3 linked regions of the Pelodiscus sinensis genome follow. The protein of the gene in region 3 interacts with the protein of the main gene of each other region in a biochemical or structural test. Links are inferred from orthologs where the notes say so. Each region holds a gene or a part of one and is shown on either strand. Other genes may lie near its edges.

Region 1 (8,033 bases), on a different chromosome or scaffold from region 3:
GTTTTGAGGTCCCTTAGTCACAAACACACAGTTACTCTTCCATCACATGCATCTTTAATTGCCTGTTTTCAAAACAAGGCAAGAGTAGCAAAAATATACAACCAGGAAGAACCTTTCATACTACTTCTCTATTCCACCTAGCTCACCATGTGAGCTTCCTCTACTCCCTGTTCCCATCAATTATGACCCCCTTACTAAACCAATTACATCATTAGCCCAATTTCTACACAGGTGTCAGTAATCTCCATGGAAATAGATTAAGGTTGCTACAGCACAAAGAAGACTCCAGATGCAACTGGAGACAATGACCAGAGTGCTACAGCTAGCACTCTATCACGTGTACCTAAGCTCTCAATTATAGAAGACAGTGAACCATACACATTGCTGGAGAAAGCTGTGAGGCCATAACCTATCAACCTGGGAGAGTGAATCCTCTATCAACCTTTCAAAACAGGGATAAACTGACATTTGTCATACAACCATCCTCATGCTGCCAAACCAACATGCCCCTATTCTGACCTGGTACTTAAATGCCATGGCCCTGTTAAGAATGCAGCCAACACCAACTCAAGATGCAATCAGATTTTCTCTTTTGATCACTGCCAACTAAAATTCAGCACACACTGGTAACTAAAGGAGAGTTAGTTAAAAAGCTATGAATATCCAAAGCATCATTTTCAAGATTGCTTCTCTAGCACAAATTAAGCAACTGCTTGCAATTACTGTGGTTGTTACCCAATAGGGAGCATAAGATTATGCTGCAAGAACTTCAACTTGATGACATGAGTTAAAGTGGTGCAGCAGCCACAACTGAATTTCTTTATGTCATAATTCACAACTTTGACTAACGTATTACAAACTTGGTCTGATGTTAAAGTTATTTCCTGAGCACTGAGTCTGACACACATCAAATGTTTCAAGAACAGATTAGAAAGAAAAAAACCTCGTTTCACAAATTCACATGACTTTCAACTGCTATCAAGTTACCAACTATTAGAACACTGCAGGAAGCAAAATATCTTCAGAAGTGAACCCTAAATTAGATGTCTTTTAACTCTTCATTTCTAATTTTGCAAAGCAAATACCTTCCCTTAGGAAGCTCAAGATGTTCCATTAGATTGTTCACAGCATACTGTGAACAGAAAAAACTATTATACCTCTTCTGTAAAACTCCATGGCAAGATAAGTTCACAAAAAATGGGCAGGAGAGCCCAATTTTAGATATTGATCCTTTCTGTAGATCACAGCAATCTGGTAGCATCTGAACTTAATTGATGTCAAAACACTCATTACAACAGATCTTACAAAACATCAGCTAAAAAGGACAAATTAGAGGTTTGTGAAGAGAACTCAGTCCCACACAACTTTGCCTTTGTAAAGCAATGAGACAGCAATAGCAAAAAACTTGTTACTTTATATTAATGCTACCTGATCAACATATTAGAAGATTCAGTTAATCAACCCAGCTGTTAGCGTTCCTTATCCTCTCATATCCTGTTTATTTTAGGGATATATTGTCCAGGGAGCTTGTTAAAAATACAAGCAATGTAAATTAGGGACTGCACACTCAAAATCCACCACATGGCCAGTAAAAAAAAAAAAATGTATCTTTTTTCTAAAGTTCTGCTACTATGAAAATGAAATGCTTCCGGGTAAGTACAACAGCAAAACAATTTAAACATCTATTTTATATAAACATCATTACTGATAAATAATCTCTACCCTAGGCACACTATAAACAAGTACACACAACAAATGTTACAAACTTTATATATTAAAATGATTCAGAAACCACATACATAGAACCTCCTTCCCAACACCAATCCACTGGGAAAGTGAGCTGGGTGTGAGTATATGATTTCAGACCCCCTCAGGGCTCAAGAATGGAATTTATTGCCTCTTCTTAGATGGGGGGGGGGGGGAGAAGGGGATGTTGAATCAGGCTTGTACAAGGATGGTTGGAAAAATGTGTCAAAAACTATTCCCTATTCAGATGCAGGGATGGGGGTGGAATATTATAAGGGGTATCAGTTCTCTATTTTGTGTACAATGGGTGAACATACATACTTCACCCTCCCCAGGGCCCTGTGCAGGGAGCTGTATTATAGAGATACACATAGGAAGTGAAATGCTCACTTCAGGGTTTTGTCCTGAGTGCTTGCTATTCCCCCAAAACCTTGCAATAAGGTGTGTCCTTTTTGAGGGGAGGGAAGGGAAGTTTCCTTCCAGCCCAGTCAGAAGATTGAGCAAGGGTGGGGAAAAATACAGAAGAGGAAGGTGTATAACTAGAAACCCAAGAATCAGACGTGAGGGCTAGTTTTGGAAAGGATCTACTGGAAGAAGAGGGGCCTCTACATCGGACTGTCTACTTGAGGCGGAACAAATGGGGGAAGAAGATTGCAGGGCTCACCCTCGAGGCTCATGACACGAGAGGGAAACTCCCAAGCTGGACCGGGTGGGGGAAGCAGAGCTCGCCCCCAAACCAGACAGAGCGCAGCGTTTCCCCTCCACAAAACCCTGGGAGAGGGGGAGGGTGCACATGGGGAGAAGGGGGCAGAGATCCTCACAGGGCCGTGAGCAGGACGGCAGCGGGGGGGGGGGGGGGGAATAAATAAGCTGCAGGGCACAGCTCCCCATCCAAGGGACGGAGCCAGGGGCTCGGAAGTGAACACAACCCCTCACCGCCAGCCACGGACCCGGACGGAGAGGGGGGAGCGGAGTGCGGGGAGGGGGGGGCAGAGCCCCCCAGAGCTCCGGATACGGAGAGGGCAGTGCTCCCGCCTCCCCCCCCAGGCAGGGCCCCGGAAAGGGAGGGGGACAGAGCTCCCCGCGCTGGTGCAGCCGGCCCGGCCCCTCACCTGGTAGATAAGAGCCCAGCTGGCGGCCTGGTCGAGCTGGCGGAACTCCTTCTCGATCTCCATGGCGGGGGCCCCCCGGGCCTGGCCCCCCGCCGCCGCCTTCGCGCCCTGCTCCTCCGGCTCCAGCTGCTCGCGGGGCCGCCGCTGCCTGCTCTGCATGTCACTCCCCGCCCCGGCCACCGGAACTACGCCGCGGCCGGCCACGCCGCTTCCGGGCCCGCCTCCGCCCCCGCCGGGGGAGGGGCAGCTTGGGAGAGCCGGGGAGAGAAGCCGTAAGTGCCCCCCCCTTCCTCCACTGTGGCGTGACAGACAGACGGGCGAGCTGTGCCCCGCCCCCCGACAGACAGACAGACGGGCGAGCTGTGCCCCGCCCCCCCGACAGACAGACAGACAGACGGGCGAGCTGTGCCCCGCCCCCCCGACAGACAGACAGACAGACGGGCGAGCTGTGCCCCGCCCCCCCGACAGACAGACAGACAGACGGGCGAGCTGTGCCCCGCCCCCCCGACAGACAGACAGACAGACGGGCGAGTTGTGCCCCGCCCCCCCGACAGACAGACAGACAGACGGGCGAGCTGTGCCCCGCCCCCCCGACAGACAGACAGACAGACGGGCGAGCTGTGCCCCGCCCCCCAGACAGACAGACAGACAGACGGGCGAGCTGTGCCCCGCCCCCCCCGACAGACAGACAGACAGACGGGCGAGCTGTGCCCCGCCCCCCCCGACAGACAGACAGACAGACGGGCGAGCTGTGCCCCGCCCCCCCCGACAGACAGACAGACAGACAGACGGGCGAGCTGTGCCCCGCCCCCCCGACAGACAGACAGACGGGCGAGCTGTGCCCCGCCCCCCCGACAGACAGACAGACAGGGGAGCTTTACTCCCCCCCAGAAGGACAAGCAGGCAGTGCAGTGCCCCCGTCCACGTCTGAGGCCTGACAAAGAGACAGAGAAGCTGGTCTCCCTCTCCCCTGCCGGGTCCTGTCCCCCTCCCCAGTAGAACAGACAATCGGGGCAGAAGAGCTGTGCCTCCCCCGGGACAGACAGACAGACAGGGGAGTTGTATCTCCCCACCCCAGGGCTAACACTGACCTCCCCGAAGATAGGCATATGGGGGAAGCTGTGCCACCCTCCAAGGCCTGAGGACAGACAGGGGAGTCATGAGGACTGACAGAAAGATAGAGTCTGTATTTTTTCTCCAGCCTAAAGACAGACAAATTTGGTAACACTCTTACCTTAGTTATGTCTAATTATACCTGGGACTGGCAGATGGGTGGTGTAATGCTATGTTTTCCCCACTCCGTTCCAGTTCCCTATGTCCATTTGCCAGATCAGAAAGGGTATGTCTACACTTGCACCCTCTTTCGAGAGAGGGATGCAAATGAAGATATTTGAAATTGCAAAGGAAGCTGGGATTTAAATATCCCGTGCTTTATTTGCATATTCATGTTATGGTGCTATTTTGAAATAGCACTATTTCGAAATAACAGACGCTGTTAAGACGCGGTTATTTCGAGATAAAACCCTTCTCTTGAAATAACCCTTATTCCTCATAAAATGAGGTTTACCAGTTATTTCGAGATAAGGCCATAACAGCGTCATAATTTGAATATGCAAATGAAGCATGGGATATTTAAATCCCGGCTTCATTTGCAATTTTGAATGTCTTCATTTGCATCCCTCTCTTGAAAGAGGGTTCAAATGCAGACATACCCATATATAGTTCACACTGTTACTTTCACCACTCCCCACATAAGTAAACTGTACCATTTATTATATGTACAGTATATGTCACTACATGTACATAATTAGTTTTCAAAGGGGTTAACACACTCCTAGCCCCAATGAATTACGTTTGCTGTCCCAACCCTAAATAGAATCCACTCAAAATGTCATTGAGACATGTTGGACTCAGACATTTTGATACTACATTACTGGGACATAAACATCACCATTTTGTGATGCACAAATCTTTTTCCTGTGAGACAATCTTCAGGTGGCAGCTTTTAATCCAAAGGACCCTTAGAAGGTCAGCCTAGTCAGGCACTGGCAGTTCAGCCAATTACAATAGTTTACAGCTCACTACCATTTTTAATCTTGAAGGATGTCATATGCTCCATAAATTATATCCATTGACTAGGTTCCATTAAAATGCAACCAACCCTGGAGTGAAAGGCAGCAGCTTTTAAAAGCACACACCTTACATCATTCTCAGCTTTGATTCTATTTAGACATCAGCAACAGTTACTGCAACATAGAAATTTCCCTTCTAAACACAGACCTGCTTAGGACAGGATCAAGCCCAGGATGCCATAACTGTAGATAACTGAATTACTACAGTATAAAAGTTTTTCATAAGGAAAGTTAGCATTCAGACTTGTGGATTCATGACTCCTGCTCTAACTTGATAGATAAAATCAGTGCAGACTGTTTAGTCAAGGATCCATGAAGAACACAATTCTCTGAGGTACTGTTATCATAGAATAGTTGTCCCAGGTCACTAAGAGCCATATGCTGTCCTGGACAACTGGAATTCTGCCATAGACTGAAGGCAGCATTCACCCTGAATGGTTTAAAATAAACATAAGTAAGAGAAAGAAAGTTTATACATGCACAGTTACATTTACAGTTTGATTAATGATTTGCTTAAATCACTGGGAATTTTTAGTTCTGGGGATTCAGCATTAAATTACAGCTTTAAATTGGATTATAAAGATTCTCAAACATTTACATGTATATAATTAATAATGTCTTTGGCTGAGGGATAATTTATCATTGCAATAGTGCCCATCTGGTCCTATTTTTTTTCAGAAATGTGCATCTTAATTGTACTGTTATTGCAATTGCATGCACTGCTGTACTGTTTTGGTATTAAAATGCATGCACAATTCTAAAATCATGAAACCAGATGCATTTGCAATTAAGGTCCAGGCATTAGGTTTTCAAAAGGTTAGTCATTTAATGGCATAGGCAAATACATGCATAATAGTGTGTGTACTTTCCACATGCAATTGCACTTGCAAATTGGATAAATTAGACACTTTTTAGGTGGCACAGACACAACAATGGCAAATGGATTAAAAAATAACATACTTTAAACACGTGATAGTGTTTCTAATGTTTTAAAATCTGAGCACAGATTTTTATAATTTCATGTACATATATTCTGCAAGCAACTGCCACAACTGTTTTCAGAAATCACTGTACAGGCAATCCCCGGGTTACGTACAAGATAGGGACTGTAGGTTTGTTCTTAAGCTGAATTTGTATGTTAGTCAGAACTGGTACATATTGTAGGGGAAACTCTAGCCAAACATTTCTCCAGCGCTCAGTTTTATTCTCCCACACCTCACTCCTCAGTCCTTTATTCTCAAGCTGAGGTGTCTGCTGAGAAAAGCCACTCCGCGTCTCCCTGGTCTGCTGGGGGGAGCACTAGCTTCGCATCTCCCTGGTCTGCTGGGGGGAAGCAGCTAGTGTGGGGTTGCCTCACCCCGTTTGTAAGTAGGGATCCGATGTAAGTCATGTAACCCGGGGACTGCCTGTATCTGTGGTTACAAATGATCACGTACATATCAATAAGTTGATAACTTCTACCTGCAACCACCAAATTGTTTCTTGAAATGTCTAAAAATCATAGGCTGCAGTATACAGGCAATTGGCCCGATCCACAGGGCTTGTTAAGTCCCCTTTGTGTTGCTGGAGGATTGCAAAAGGCTCTTAAAGCACTTTATGCTAGCGTCAGAGGTATTCCCTGAGCTGGGGAATCTTTGGATACCTCCTGGTATATGTGTAGGGTTTCTGATTTTAGGTTTAATTGATAAACACTGATAAACATTCTGATACAAAAAATAAAACAAACAAAACACCCTAAATACCAGTGAAATCAACATTTATCCAATAAATCCTGGCAAAACACCAGAAATGGTTTCTTGTAGGTTGTGTGCACAGTTCAGTAATGCAGCCTATAGGGCTGCACTTTCTAAAGTGCACTAATGTGTTTCATTTAATTGGTCCATGAAGACCCTGCTGGTATGCACTAAAGGTTCCCTAGTGCTTTTTAACACTGGGAAACATTGCAAAGAGATTACTCATTGCAGTGTACTGTATTACTTATTTCAGTAAATGCAAAAAGAAAGTCCCCAAAACTCCTGATTTTTAGACAGCTACATAAACCTCAAAATAGCTAAAAATGAACCCTGAAAAATTAAATAAATAAACTGCTAAAACCAGACACCCTAAATATGTGTTTGGAAGTGGTGAGGACAGAGCACACAGCATTCTGCCTAATCTTTGGCCTGCACAACAGTCCTTAGGGGGTCCTTGATTTACTTTTACATCTCCCATGTAGTCTGAACTCTAAGCACCTGCAAAATTTGCATTTTTAAATGAATCTGTTTCTGAGGTATATCAATTAAAAAGGTATCTGGAAAACAGCAAACTAACCAATCAAAACACAAAGAACATGGTCTTATTTTCATCAGTTGGAGACCCACAAAATGGCTTATTCCATTTCAGCCATTCGATACAAATTTGCATCTGTGGTCACAATATTTCAGATTTCAAGATGACCTAGTTTTAAAAACAGCCAGAGTAATAAATCCCCATTAAAATGTTGTAAATAAGATACATGATGTTCCTGCACTGTGGCATTGTGACTCTAACAATACAATTACATATAATAATACATAACAGTTCCAGCAGGCTGGATGCCCAACCAGAAAGTTTGTCATTCACATTCAGCATACTTCATGTTATCAAACTAAACACAATTTCCCCATTAATCCACATTAACATCTCTGTTTTATTTAACAGAAAGACAGTCTTGTTTTAAACAAAGATGATACTCTGTTGGCAGCTTCTGAGAGGCCCTTTGGGTCTTCGAGCCTCAGATATTCTTTGTCCTTATTTTCTTACTAACTGTTGATAGTAAGTTAGGCTGTTCAGTGTTGAGTATTTACTGTGAAGATCCAACACAGTCTAGTCTCTATTCCCCTCATTCTCCAAAAATGCTACATTGTCAGATGAGGCACACACACACATTACAATGAATAAGAGCCAGACCCTAAGAGTTGAATCTCTGAACACCTGTAAAATCAGGAACAAATCTAATCCGAACAGACATCTGTGACTTAAGTTTACATAATATTGCATAGGTACAAGTTCCTAGGACTAAAAA
Region 2 (7,326 bases), on a different chromosome or scaffold from region 3:
AAGGATTGCCTTCAATCATAACAACTCCTTGAATGGCAACAGAAATTTAAGGAACGTAGATTAGTCATCCACCATAATACACTGTGCAACTGTAATTGTAGGTTCTGAAGAGTCTTAGAAATAACCAGAGTCAGCATTGAAAAAGACAAGGTGCTAAGTAAATATTATAGACTAATGGCTGAAACTTAAATTTGCTTACGAGTTAAAGTCTCAACTTCCATTGCAATTCTGTGGGAGCTGGGGACCTCAATCTCCTAGACATCTACTCAAGCTTGGTGGCTTACGTCTACTTTTAAGTCACTGGTCTCTTATGTGAGGTCAGGGAGAAATAATCAAAAAAACGACGAAGAGTTCTGGGAGTCAGGAATGCAGAGACACACGAGTGTTCTGTATGAGCAACTCCTGATGGCTGCACCAAGGAAGGGCATATTCCCAAATGGAAGGCAAGTACTATAATTTTCACCAGACAGAAGGATATAAGAGATATTTAAGAGGGGAAGTTGTGGAACCCAGAATAAAGGAGGGCATTCTCTGAGGCAGTCGCACATAGAATGGAAGCATCCACTCTTCACTGTCCAATATTTGGAGGAAATAAACACACATCTGCACAGCCTTTCCTCAGTTCAATTTCAAAACTGTATTGAAAGATAGTGGCTGAAATTCTGAACACAGTCCGATCAATGGCGGAGGTTTTCAATTTACTGTACTTCAATGCAGAGTGGACTTCATAGCCTCAAAAAATTCTTAAAATTCCTATCAAAACACCCTTACTTTCATGCTCAGTAAAATGATTTAAAATAGGTTTTCATGTATACTAAAATAAAATATTTGAAGGGATTTTCTACTCATCTATTTGGTGTACACTTTGGACATGCATCAAGTCTCAATGACACCTGCAATAAACCCAGAGAAATTTAACTGGCAAATATTTCCCCAGCAATAATATAAAGCAGGCATTTGATTTACTGAAAGTGATCCTTCTTTGTTTATTTGTTTACTCCACACAAACTGGACCATGTGAAGATTATGACTTTTCTGATGAGGCAGATAAGTAGACACAATTTTAGTGCATAAATATTTAAAAAACAAGACATTATGCACAGCTAAACCTAGATTCTGTCTACTCAGAAGCAGTTAAGATAATAGTCTCATCACTAAATTCAATCTTCAAGAGTTGCACACAAAAGAAGCTGTTGGCATACCTGGCAAATGTGTGGGACTTATCTCTAGGTGGCGGTAGTAGTTCAGATTTTGAGCTATTCAGATCTACAAATATTTATCTAGAATTTAGTAATAAGTATTCCTCTTAACTCCTTCAGATACCTTTTACAATTATTCTCCTCTGAAATTAAAACATCGTACCTACTTCTCTGTAAATTTATAATACAGTCGGAAATTAAGTTAATAGGATTTTGGCATTTTGCTGTCAAAGTGTATAGAAAAAGGCAAATAGATTTAATTGCCCCCAAATTAAGGCACATTTATGGAACAAAGAGCCATTACATTTCAAGCATTTTAGAGGATTTACATGCTTTCAATTCTGTACACACTGCCATGGTAAATAATGAGAGTTTTAATTAACTAGTTGAAAAGAGAATTACTTCATGCAAAGAGACTACATTCTAAATGAAGTAAATCTACAACTGCTACAGCATGATGACAGCTGTCATGGACTCATGAAAATGTAAGTATTTACGTAAAGTCTTATTTTACTTTTCCTAGTGGTCCAATGGAACTCAACTTCAGACAGCTGAATCAATTAGCGATGTCTAGAGATTATGCTGTAATGGGATGTTTGGGACAAGTCAGGGTAACTAAGGGACTATAATCATAGCTAGTCAGTATTGTCCCAGCAAATCCTTTGTTTGTATTAGAAAATATAAACTACTCCCTTCCTTTTCACTTCACATATTTGAGTGATTTATTAAGAATTGGAATTAATACTTATCATGATTAAAAGTATCCTAATTTCATTTTGAGCACCTCCTTTAACAAAGCTGATCTAGCACGATTAGCAAATATGTGGTTAATGTCATCATATCTTCAATATGTTAACAGAACTCAGCTAGTCAGTCTGGCTCAGCTGAAGTTAATGCAGCTACTTTACACCTGCTGAGGATCTGTCCCAGTATTGTGAAGAAAGTGAAAAATTAAGACCCTAAACCAGCAAAGACACTTTTGCACAAATTTACTCATGTGAATATTCAGAGATGTTGGTGAGACTTCACATTTGAATACAGTTACCAATATCCATGTCTGAAGGATCAGCACCTAAAATTATAGCAATATATGTCTAGCTTAAATAATTGTAAGTGGTATTCCAACAAAAGAGCTGTCCTATTAACACACCCGTCTAGTCCAAAATTTAAAGAATTTTCTTCCGTCTTATATGGTGTCTATTAGTATTTAGTCTGCCTCCAGGTGGCACCAGGATTTAATCTGGCAACATCATTTAATACACAAGTTAGTATAAGAGCAAGCTGTTAAATGCACACACAGGGTAGTTAATCTACATTATTACTGTGACAGCATCCTGGAGTCTCCATTGTGATAGGTGCTGTGCAAACATGGTACAAAGCCACTCCCCCCAAAGAGTTTACAATCCAGGTACCAGACAAAAGACAGCAGATGGATAGTCAGACAGGAAAACATAAGGCAACAATGAGTTAATAGTGCTCAGCATGATTCACAGTAGTCACAATTTACCAGCTGTCAGTCTCAGATCCAGCTGTACACCAATCCGCTTGTTTAAAAGCACATCTGTACTGTTTGTTCACTGCAATAAGATGCCTCAATGGAGATATTACTCACATTTTTCCTTTTTTGGAAGTAGAGTCTGTAATTTATTCCACCACGTCTCATTTCAGAAGTATTTTTTTTAAATTACTGAGCCAGTACTCAACTTTAGCTGTCTTTAAAAACAACTATTTAAAATACAGTTCACTGTTTGATATAACCAAGCATGCCAGCATATGAACTGCTGTAAGAGATGATTGAGAGTCTTTCAATTAAGCAGCAATTCTGCAATTAGGAGGAACTGAGTGCTCATAACAATAATTTGAAAACAAGTCAAGACAAGTTAGTAATTACTCTACTAAAAGGATATATCTGCTTACATCAGAGCCTCTACTACCCCACGCAGTGCCAATATGAGATTTTCAATGTAGGCACACAACACATGCTTAAAACTGCACTTCAGACATACATATATATCTATAAGGCAAACGCTTAAAGTAAAATTTGAGGGCCTTTTATTCTTAAAGCAGTGGTGTACTGAGTATAGAAAAGTGTGAAAGCTCACTGATCTCCATTCTCAGGCTAACATACCCAAAGTTTGAAATTCTTCTACCCATAACTTCTCCTTAACTTCTGCTTTTCTATGTGCACCTTTGAGGATCTATTCACTGAGCAATAATGCAACAACTTCTACTTCTTCAGCTATTATGTCCTATTGTTTATAGTGAGAAATTACTGTCAGGATAATAAGTTAAAACTGCAGACTACTTTCAGTGCTGGATCTTCATTATGCGTGCAACTATAAAAAAGATTTATTGGATGTTTATTTTCCTACGTGTGTCTTGACTGAACATTAGAAAAATGAATTTAAAAAAATGTATCTCTGTACTGTGTTTTCAGCTGGGTCCTTCAGTCTTCTGTGGCAACATATAAACTAATGTGTTTTATGTTTGAAAGCATATTGATGAGAGCCAGCCTTTTCAGTTTAGCCTTCTCAACCCCTTACACGTATAATATACACTTCTTGCCCTCTCCTTCACACCTCTACACCCAGTCCTCCATTTCAGCAGGATTATTCAGATAAGAATTAAAATGTTGAGCCTGAGGGCCTACTTTAACCTGACTTTACAGCGTTAAAACCATGGGATCCTCTCTGCAGTGCTAGGATGTGGTGGGTCTGAACAGAAAGCATTATATTTATATTTGGGTTTTCCCAGCTGTGGTTTGGTGAAGTTGAACTTTAAGTAATAGTATGACAGCAGAGAATTGGTTAATTTATGGAGCATAGTAGAAAGAGTCTTCCTGGATGTGTTAACTAACAGTGACTAGCAGCACTTTTCAAATGATTTTATATTGGAGGAGGCAAAGTTGGGGTTTTGTCCTGAGCCCAGAATAAGGGACAACATACTGTTGCGCCACCCCAGGAGTGTACCAGAAGAGTCTCAATCTCTCTTGCAGGTCCCCTCATAGTCTGAGTGACAGGTACCCTGCATATGGTCCATCTGCACAGCTAAAGCACCACACATGCCCAGTGGGAGGAGATATAATGCCTCTGTGAAGACTTCCTCTTCCTGCACATCTGTCTACCCATGGTTCAGACAGCTAGTAAATGGATGCAGAAAGCGTTATTCCTGCTTACATCACTGCATAGCTTCACAAACCAGGCCACCATTGGACCCATAGTAATTCAAATGCTACAGGGCCAATTTTGATACCCTTACTTGCATTAATTAGTATCTTACTCAGCAGATAGATCTATTGAATTTTGTGCAATTCAAGGACTAAATTACTATTCATTGTGATTAAGGGATGAGAAATTGACCCTAAATCAATAATATGACCTTTTATTGTGAGGTAACTGATTAAACACATTCAAATAAATTACAAACTTCTTATTCATGTTGGTGAACAACTACCAACCCAAAAATCAGTGGGACTTGTTGAATGACTAAGTGTTCACATGTATAAGTAGGGGGTTCACAGCCTGTCCCCTCTATGTGTAGATGTATATGAAATAGCATAGATTTTTCATGTATATGTATTTTTATCAAACCACAAATGACAGATACATAAATACTTGCTGAAGAGAAAATATCACCAGGATAGATTCCCTGCATACATTAAAACTCAGTTACTAGAAGCATAAATAAGTAATGAATATTGATCTCACAATGGCAATAACTTCAAAACAGCAACCTATAATAAAGTGAAAGTAAATATGTACATTGTAAAAAAACTTTACTGTTCAAGTGAAGACACTAATAGTATCTCTGGAATTAAAAATTATGTCCATAATTATATTACATTATAATATTACAAGAGTATTTTTTTAAAAAAAGTCAGTAGCAAGGTATCCAAATCATTAATTTAGTTTTTTGGCCATTCAACACAGCTTACCACTTAACACTAATTCCTTTTCAAAGGAAAGAGAAATATTTTCAATGCAGCCATGAAACAAGGACAGAAAAAAAAAACATCAATTTTTACCATCTTCCTAATTCTTAAAAGAAAGAACACATAGCTATTATCTAATTTACTTAAAGATAGAAACTTTTGCCCCTTAAAGAGTTCCCTTCTTCATTGAATGCACCCAGAGCATAATCAGTTTAATTGTTTACTGGACATTTTCATATTCTTTCTTCAGTTTAACACAAAGTTGATGAACAGGACAAAGACTTTATGACATTGGAATTCCAGTTATGGTAACCAGCATGTTTTAAATTCCAGGAAAGGTTACATTTCAACAAGTGAATCTTTCCATTCACTAACTGTACCTCAGTTGATAGTATAGATACATTATTGTGAGCGGCAGTCAATGAGTTTCTTCTCCTTATACTCAAACATTCCATTTACCATTTCAGGCAATATGTTATACATACACTTGTGTGTGCCCCTTGCCAAAACTACACCGCTTAATTCCTTCAAGCTATCATAGCTTGAAGCTGTCCATGTCATATCCAAGTAACTTTAAATCTGGAGAAAATCTAATGTCGCACAAAACAATGAAAGCCCACGCGTTACTTTTACGACTATAGAAAACAAAAACCAGTCTTGAATGTGAGCATGTAAAGTATCAACTTTTAGCAAACAAAAGATGTACAATGTTGGTATTCACTGCGCTATGTTACAGCTTTCCTTCAGGGTGCTGTACTGGAAAGCTGTTTAGCAGCTTGAGTTACAGCAGTGTAGCCAGCAAACTACCATGGCAGAAAGAGATCCAGTACTGGGGAGATTACTCTAACACCTAGAAATCCACTTGGCCTTCACTCCTGTGCAAGTGCGCGTCTTCCTCTCTGTTCGCCGGGCAGTGCGGTTACCGACTGGGGGAAAAACCCCACAGCAAGCTCACTTAAGACAACACACACACGTTGGAAGTGATGCCAGCTGTGCCCCGCTCTGCCCCGCTCGCTACGGCTTGCCAGACGCAGCTACCCATCCCGCCTTCCCTGCGGGAGCGTCTCTCCCTCCCGATGGCGCTTAGCGGACAAAGCGGGCTCAAGTGGCTCCTAAGATCCGTGGAAGACCCACCAGCCTGCAGCCGGGGACTGAGCTGGCTGGTCACAGCTCCTCGCGGCTGCGCCAGCACCGGCCGGCAGAGGGCCGCCTTTCCCACCAAACCTCTCCCGGCTCCCACCATGGGCACCCCGCGCGGGGGGCGTGCGCCCAGGGGCGGCAGCCTCCCTCCGCCGCGCCGCGCTCCCTGCCGCCCGGGGGCAGGCGGCCGCGCTCCCCGCCCGTAGCGCGGGGCAATCCCGCCCCCCGCCAGCCTCCTGCGCAACTCCCGGCTCCATTACGGCGCGCGGGGCTCTGTGCAGCCCGCCCGCCAGGCTCTGGCAGCCGGGGAAGCCCGGCTCGCTTATCGGGTCCGCCTGGCGCGTCCCCGCCCGCCCCAGCTCCCAGCCGCCGCCGGGGTGCCCCGGCTGCCCGGAGCGGATTCCAGCAGCAGTCCCGCGCCCCGCGGGGGCTGGAGAGGAGCGGAGCACTGCCCGGTGCTGCCTGGGACCTGCCCAGCGCGCAGCAGGCAGACAGGTGCCTGCGCGCCCGCGGATCCGGCGGGGAACAAAGGCAGCGGCGGGGCTGCTGAGCGGGGAACCCCAGGACCCCCTAATTAGGTCTGGTTCCGGCTTCGGGTCCCCCCCGCTGCCGCGCAGCCCAGCTCCCAACCCTCCCCGCCCGCCTCCTTTCCCCCCAGCTGCAGAGCCCCTAACCGCGCTCCCCCCCCCCCCCCCCCCCCCCCGCTCCCGGCTCCCTGCCTGCCCACCCTTCCCCGCTAGCCATGCGCTCCGCTCTGCACGGGATCCCCTCCTCTCCTGCCCTGGATCTCCCCCGCTCCCCAGCTGCGCCTGCCCCCGAGGACTGGCTCAGGGGAAGCGCGGACAGAAGTTGCTCTGGCGGCCCCCCGCCAGTGCCCAGCCCTGACACTCAACTTTCCCGGCCGGCCGGCCGCGCTGGCGGAGAAGAGCGAGTTAGTTGGGGCCAAGAGGCGCCTCGTACCTTGTTGTCCACACAAAGCCTGCTCGGGTCCCTCCGGAAAGTCACATCCTCTCCCAGCCGCCCAGTCCCACCAGCCGCCTCCTGCAGCCCCAGCAA
Region 3 (7,179 bases):
TGATGTTCCCCACCCCTGAATTGGAAGATGGCCCACCTAAGCAGAGAATACAGAATCAGGCCCCAAGCAGGAGCACAATCCTCTACACTGGTCTCAACTGTAGTGGCTCACAATGGCTGAAGTTGAAAACCCTCTGGTACCTACTTGTCAAAGCCCCATAAAAAATAAGGGTATTATCATGGTACAATACTTGCTTACAACTAGGGGGAAATGAGTGTCGCTCTGCATTCACAAGCAGACACAGCATTGCATCCTTTTTAGCTACCTTACAGAAAAGGAGCACGTGCACAAGGAGCTTACATGCATATTACCCAGTCCTCCTTTTACTCTATCAGAATGCACTATTTCCATTTCAAAAAAGTGAAGAAAACAAAATGGTCAAATTTTTGATTGGGGAAAGAGTGACCCATCAAAATGTTCTTGTTCATGAATAATGAATAGGACGAACAGGTAGAGGTGAACATGAGAGAATAAAGAGGTCCCTATTAATTTATTCTCTAGAAGAGATGTGGGATATGTGTAGTGTAGCAATTGTTTACAGATCTGTAAAAAAAAAATCTGTAAAAGAGAAAGATAAAGTGGCAGCTACATTGATACCTCTCCCAAGAAAAATCTGACAGAGAAGAATTTTCTGCTAACACATTGGCCTTCTACCAAAATCAGCACCAATCTGTGCGCTATACTCCTTTATTATCTAACTTATTCCCAGGAAACTGTACCAAGGGCAATTAAGATGTATAATCTAAATGGCTTCAAAATTATATCTTTGGGAAGTCAAGTCTAAATTAAATCATACCAGGCTTTTAGGCTTCCAACGATCACATTTTCCTACCGAGCAAGTGCCTTTCAATGCAGAGAACTTCTCCTATTACAGATCGTTCACAATCTTTCCTTAAGCAAAACCTCCTTTCCTATTTGGTGTTCTTCGCAGAGCGAAATTAAAAAAAAATACTGGCTACTGTTGAGGCTTGCAAAAGAGATGCTGCAAGGAAAATGTGAGCATCATTTCTGCAAGCCTTAGAGGCAAGCAACACAAAATGCAAAGGATTCTCTCTTGTATCTACATACTGTGGAGATTCTCTGTCCCTTTATACATACACACTCTCTCTCTGGCTTTCTCTCCTAGGCAGATTGATGTACACACATAGAAAATACAATGATTAGTTATGTAAATTAGCTGGTACACACATGTACTAGCTGTGGATACACCGAAAGAGAGAATATCCATACACGAGCTGGATGCAGTATCATAATGGAAATGACATAAAATTAAAGCGATAAAAGGGATCTCCTCGTTTGTGCCCAGCCGCTGCTCTACTCACATGTCGGTGATGTTCTCCCGCTCGGCGCTTCTCTCCAAGACCGGGAAGGACACGATGCCCGGCGCGGGCTCGATGCACCAGATCCGCGAGGCGCTGCATGTGCAAGGCGCGGGGCAGGCGAGCAAAGCCCTCCAGGAGCCCAGCACCAGGCAGCAGACGCTCCAGAGCCGGGCCAGGCCGGGCCCCTGCCACCTCCTCCGCCAGGACACCATGCTGGCCCCGATCAATCCAGCGCTGCCCGCTGCCCCGACGGCCTCCTCCCGCGACCGTGCGCGGAGCCCCCTGGGCGCTTCACAGCGGCTGCGACTCGGGCATCCTGCTGCGGGCGGGCTCGGTGCCGGCCCCGGCTGGGCTCACATGGGCGCGCCGGGCCGGGCGGGAGCGACGCCTCCGCTCCCCGCGGGCTCCCCGGGGCCGCTCGGGGCGAGCGCTGGAGGCGGCGGAGCTGGAGGAGAGAGAGACGCGGGTGAGAGCGGAGCCGGTCCCGGCCCAGCCTGGCCCCCGGCCCGCCCGGGGTCCCCACAGCCTCGGTGGGGGGCAGGGAGAGAAGCCGCCGGGGAGCCCCCGCGGGCACTAGCACCTGCCCCGGGAGCCGAGCGCGGGCCCCTGGCGGGCACCCGGGGCAGGGACCGTCCCCTCCCGCCCTGGCAGCTGCGCCTGCGGCGGGGCCGCGGCAGCTCCTCGGCTCCCGAGGATGCTGCAAAGCGCCGGGCGGAGCGGGGAGGGCAGGGGAGCCGGTCACCCGCAGCCCCCGGGCTGGACACTGCAGGGGGCGGAGGGCGGAGGCTCCTACCTGCGGGGGCGCTGCCTGCTCCGGCCGCTGCTGCCGGGGGCAGAGGAGTCAGCGCGCTGCTGCTGCGGGGGGATCGGGGCTCCCGGCTCTGCCCTTTAAGCACCGTCTCCAGCTGATAATAAAGCAACCCAGGCTCCTGCTCTAGCCCAAGCTGAGGAGCTGCTGGCAAAGTGACGTGGGGCTGACGCAGAGAGGGGCAGAAACTCCACAAAATGAGCCTGGAATTAAAAAAAAAAAAAAAAAAAGACAAAAGCAAGCAGGGGCGAGGGAGGGCTGGAGGGAGGGTGCCGAGAAGGAGATGCCAATAGGCAGCCAGGAGCCTACACACATACAAACAATCACACACGCACAAGAGAGAGGTGAACCATCAGCATGGGCCCTCCTCTGGACCCTCCGTCTTCTCCGTGTAGGAAGCCAAAGCTTCCTTCTCCAACCCCAGACACGCATCTTTCCCATCCCCAGAAAGACACAGACGTGATGTGCATGGGAAAGGGAGCGCGTTTCGCCACAACCTAAGGCAGCCGGTTGCGTGTGGCTTGTTCTAATATGAACATCATGGCTTTCTGCATAGATCGCTCTGTACGGGCTTTCTGTGCCCGGCTCACTGACATACCTAGTGACATGCCCCTTCTCGACTGCTCAGCTGGCTGGTTTCTTCCCTTGCTTTTTTTGGATGCAGTTATCCCGGCCCGGTGTCTCGGACCTTCCGTGCGCTTACATTGCGTAATAGTGACTGGAGACATACACCGCTTTTGCCACGAGCCCTTTAATCCTCGGCGGGGATCACTATTAGGCTAATTCGCCTTATAGATTTGCACGCCTCCGCTGGGGCATATAATACACAAACATATGCGAAGAGAAAAACGGTTATTGAAAAGAATATGATCTTTCATGCTCGCATAATAAAATGCAATCGCTTTAAGAACTCAGGTATGTGATGAATGAGCGACATTAAAATGCCTTGTCTGGGAATTTGCCTTTTCATTAGTGGCTCTATAGGATTTTTTTTTCCGCAGTAATTTGAAAGAAACAGGAAAATCCACCGCAGTGCTTCAGACTTCAGGGAGCTCTGGCGCCACCGCGTGTTTACAACCTGAACACCACCACAAGCAAAAGAGAATGCGCCAGCAGGCAGTGTATGCAGTACACTGCCCATCTTACCGTGTACATCCTTTCCTCCTTCTTCTGGGCTGCACTACTCAAGGAAATCCACCGTAATAGTGATGGTCTTAGAGGGAATTCAGAATTGTGCTATCTGTTGTATTAGTGTTTTACTCTAATGCCAAAAGGGAAATGGGAATTAGATGTAAATTAGATCTTTTCTAATTTACGTGAGCAAATTGATGTGTGGACACAAATTAGATCTCCTACAGGTAAATAAGCATGTAACAGGTGTGCACACCACTATCTGATTTGCACATATAAACTAAGTGAAATAGCACACACCTACTTTAAATATCTGGTTCAATATGACTAATCTTGTTGCCTTGTCTTCTTCATCACAGATCGCCTTTGACCAAGCTCCATTGAACAACAGTGGAAAACACCAGTGCATTCACTGCATCACCTTTAATTAAATTTCTCCTAAGTAGGCCTCCAAGCAGTTTGGTCTAGAAATGGTAGCTTTTACAAAGCTTGCGTTGAAGGCTCTATCTCATCTTAATTTTATATTAACCAACTGAGGATTTTTATATAATTAGTTCAGAACTTCACTGTAGAATTAAAAAGGCAGATAGGTTGAAGTGATGTTCTAGAAGTGTGTATCAAGCGGTGATCACAATGTTTTGAAAGCACTCAGGTGTTACCTTGACATAGCACTTTTACTAATTGCATGAGCACTCAACTCTTGTGTAAGTCTGCTCAGGCTTCAAAAAACATTGAATTCTCACTGGGCACTCGAAGATTTGGCACTTCCAGACAAAATCCCTATTATCTTATAAGCATAGCCACAGCCATCCTAGTAATATTATACCTCTCTTCTAATGGAATGACTGAAGATAAGAAACATAGGCATACAGTGGAATCCGGATTATCCGACACCTGGTAATCTGACACTCCGCTTTATCTGACCCTGCAGCTTTGTCCCCAGAAGCTTCAGGGTCGGATACAGTCCGGACTGGGAGAACGGCCCCGCTTGCTGCCCTGTCACTCTCTTTGAGCAGCTGCTGCAGCTCCTGCCAGAGACAACGAGGCAGGAGCGCATCAGCTGTCCTGTTGCTCTCTAGGAGCAGCTGATGCGGCTCCTGCCAGGGAAGAAGCGCCCCGGCAGGAGCCGCATCAGGTCGGTCCCATTTAGGTTGGATGATAAGGACTCTACTGTATTTGGAAATATTGCCAACAATGTCTTTGGGTTAAATTAAATATATTTTGCATGTGCGTAAATGTTATTAAATTGTTATCCAGATATAAATCTACTATCAAGAGTACATTCCCCTTCTTTCCTATGTCATGGCAAAATGCATGCAGCCAAACAGCATCATAAAAGAAGCAGGATACCTGTCAGGGAGCCATGCCAGTAAATCTTGACTGCTACAGTAATTATCTTTAAAAGGGGAAACAGTCATCCTAACTTCAAACCAATCTAATTTCATTATTTGAGAGAGTTACTGGTCAAGTGGATGGATAGAGGGGAAGATGTAGATGCAATATATCTTGATTTGGATTTTGACAAAGGGCCCCACAACAGTCTCATAAGCAAACTAGGGAACTATGGTCTAGATTAAAGTACTATATAGTAGATACATAGCTGGTTGACAGACCATACTTTAAAAGCAGTTATCAGTAATTCACTGTCACATTGGGAGGATGTATCCAATGGGGGGTCTCAGACATCGGTCTGGGATAATACAACACTATTCAATATTTTAATTAATAATTTGGATACTGGAGTGGGGAATATGCTTATAACATTTTCAGATGACACCAAGCAGGGAGAGGTCATAAACAAGAGGGTTCAAATGACTTTGACATGGGAGAATTGGTCTGAAATCAGTAAGATGTAATTCAATAAATACAACTGCAAAATCCTTCACTAAGGAAAGAAAAATCAAATGAAGAAATTCAAAATGGGGAATAATTGGTAAGATGGTCATACAAAGAAAAGGATGCAGGAATTATAGTAGGTTACAAATTGCGTATCATCATCAATGTGATGCAGTTTAAAAAGGGTAATATTCTGACATGTATTAACAGGAATGTTGTATATAAAACATGAAAGGTAATTGTCCCACTCTACTCAGCACTGATGAGGCAGAAGCTGGAATACCACGTCCAATTCTAGATGCCACATATCTAAGTAAGATGTGGACAAACTGGAGAGAGTCTAGAGGAGATCAACAGAAATGTTAAGATTTAGAAAACCTGACTTAGAAGGAAATGTTAAAACAAGTGGGCATGGTAAGTCTTGCTAAAAGAAGATGGTGGAGGGTGGAGGGCACTGGTAATAGTCTTCTTATATATATATGTGTGTGTGTGTGTTAAAGGCTGTTAGAAAGCGAAGTATGATACATTGTTCCCCATGTCCACTCAAGGTAGCATAAGAAGTAATGAGTTTATTCTGCAGCAAGGGAGATTGAGGTTAGATGCTAGGAGCAATAACCTCCAACTATAAGGGTAGTTAAGCACTGGAATGGGCTTCTATCATTTGAGGTTTTTAAGAACAAGTGGGGCAATCACTTGTCAGGATTAGTGTATCTTTCTTTAGTCTGGCCATAGCGTAGGGGACTGGACTTGATGACTCAAGCCAGCAGTGGATATAGAGCAGGGCGAGTGGGGCGGCTGCCCTGGGTCCTGCGCTTCAATAGGCCCTGTGCACATGCCCCATGCACGCTACTTCCGGTTGGCTGCTGCAGAAGCGCATGCACGAAATTGTGCCATCTCAAGCCCCGCGGCGCTGCCCTGGGCCTCGCAAAATTATCACCCTGACTCAAGCTCCCTCCAAGCCCTACGTTTCTAGGATTCCTCTGCTTAGTGACAATTATCTTGGTACTACAGGACTAAGAATGTTAAGAAGCGGGTATTTGACTTAATCGTGTAGTGGATACAATTTGTATCCACTACACAATTTGTTGATAAGGGGCCCTGTTGAGGCTCTACAGTTTAAATGTAGTAGGAGCCCTGCACACAGGCATCCTGGCTCCTACTACATTTAAACTGCAGAGTCACAGCAGGGGTATGTCCCTGGCCTGGCGTGAGACAGAACTGAGTAGTCCTGGCTCCCACAGGGTCCCGGACCACTACACCTCTGCCTCTCCTGCCCATTCCCCCTGCACTGTGCAGTTGGTGCTGGCTCCTGCTCCCCCCACTTGCTGCCTCTGATACAGAGGCAGCAAGGGTGGGAGGAAGTAAGTAGTCGAGTAGTGATTTGACTAGTCACTTACATCCCTATACAGGACCAAATAAATTTTTAGCTGTCCCTGATTTCTTATTTTCTGCAAAGACGACATTTGTTGTGCCTAATACTTCTCTCACATTAATTGTATGTATGTCTAATTCTACCAATTCACACCAGTGTAAATAATAAGAATACTTTCATGAGTCCTTTTTTTTAAAATCCCGATGTATATGGGGGAGAGAAATTATTTATTATTTGTGTATTACCATAGTGCCTAAGAGCATGGACTAGGCCCTCTTATACTATGCGTTATACAAATACAGGATGAAAAGATGGTCTCTGCCCCCCCAAAAAATGTAATCTCAAATCCACACTGGCAGAAAAAAATGGTGTAAGATATGCAATTCCAGCTATGTCTATTGCATAGCTAGAGTTGACATATCTTACGTCGATTTTCTGAGGTGGCTCCACACAGGAGGAGGTTGATACGGTGAATGAAGATGCCCTTAGCATTTGATTTAGCATGTCTTTACTAGACCCACTAAATTGAACCCTGGAAGTCGATTGCCATAGCATCGATCCTCCAGTAATTGGAGATGTGGGCTTAGTATAAGACAAGAGACAACAGATAGATACCTAGACAGACAAGGGAGTACGAAGAAGCAATAATACACTATGGATCACCTTGGTATGCGATGGTCTCTCTATATCAATATTAATGGAACAGTTAT

The links.
Region 1: the proteins of NTRK2 (region 3) and PTPN1 form a complex in vitro, tested with the Homo sapiens proteins (2 studies listed by BioGRID, with this or other methods). The link is inferred for Pelodiscus sinensis from reciprocal best matches to the Homo sapiens genes NTRK2 and PTPN1.
Region 2: the proteins of NTRK2 (region 3) and BDNF form a complex in vitro, tested with the Homo sapiens proteins (3 studies listed by BioGRID). The link is inferred for Pelodiscus sinensis from reciprocal best matches to the Homo sapiens genes NTRK2 and BDNF.

What each region holds. Positions count from the first base shown.
Region 1 is NC_134728.1:18,986,650-18,994,682, forward strand, and holds the start of PTPN1 (tyrosine-protein phosphatase non-receptor type 1), read right to left. Parts: upstream 3,082-8,033; 5' UTR 3,018-3,081; coding exon 2,859-3,017; intron 1-2,858. UniProt on the Homo sapiens protein: Tyrosine-protein phosphatase which acts as a regulator of endoplasmic reticulum unfolded protein response. Mediates dephosphorylation of EIF2AK3/PERK; inactivating the protein kinase activity of EIF2AK3/PERK.
Region 2 is NC_134714.1:94,153,666-94,160,991, forward strand, and holds the start of BDNF (neurotrophic factor BDNF precursor form), read right to left. Parts: upstream 3,050-7,326; 5' UTR 2,863-3,049; coding exon 2,812-2,862; intron 1-2,811. UniProt on the Homo sapiens protein: Important signaling molecule that activates signaling cascades downstream of NTRK2. During development, promotes the survival and differentiation of selected neuronal populations of the peripheral and central nervous systems.
Region 3 is NC_134716.1:40,936,529-40,943,707, reverse strand, and holds the start of NTRK2 (BDNF/NT-3 growth factors receptor), read right to left. Parts: upstream 3,014-7,179; 5' UTR 2,729-3,013; intron 2,334-2,728; 5' UTR 2,116-2,333; intron 2,041-2,115; exon of another isoform or gene 1,768-2,040; 5' UTR 1,535-1,767; coding exon 1,323-1,534; intron 1-1,322. UniProt on the Homo sapiens protein: Receptor tyrosine kinase involved in the development and the maturation of the central and the peripheral nervous systems through regulation of neuron survival, proliferation, migration, differentiation, and synapse formation and plasticity.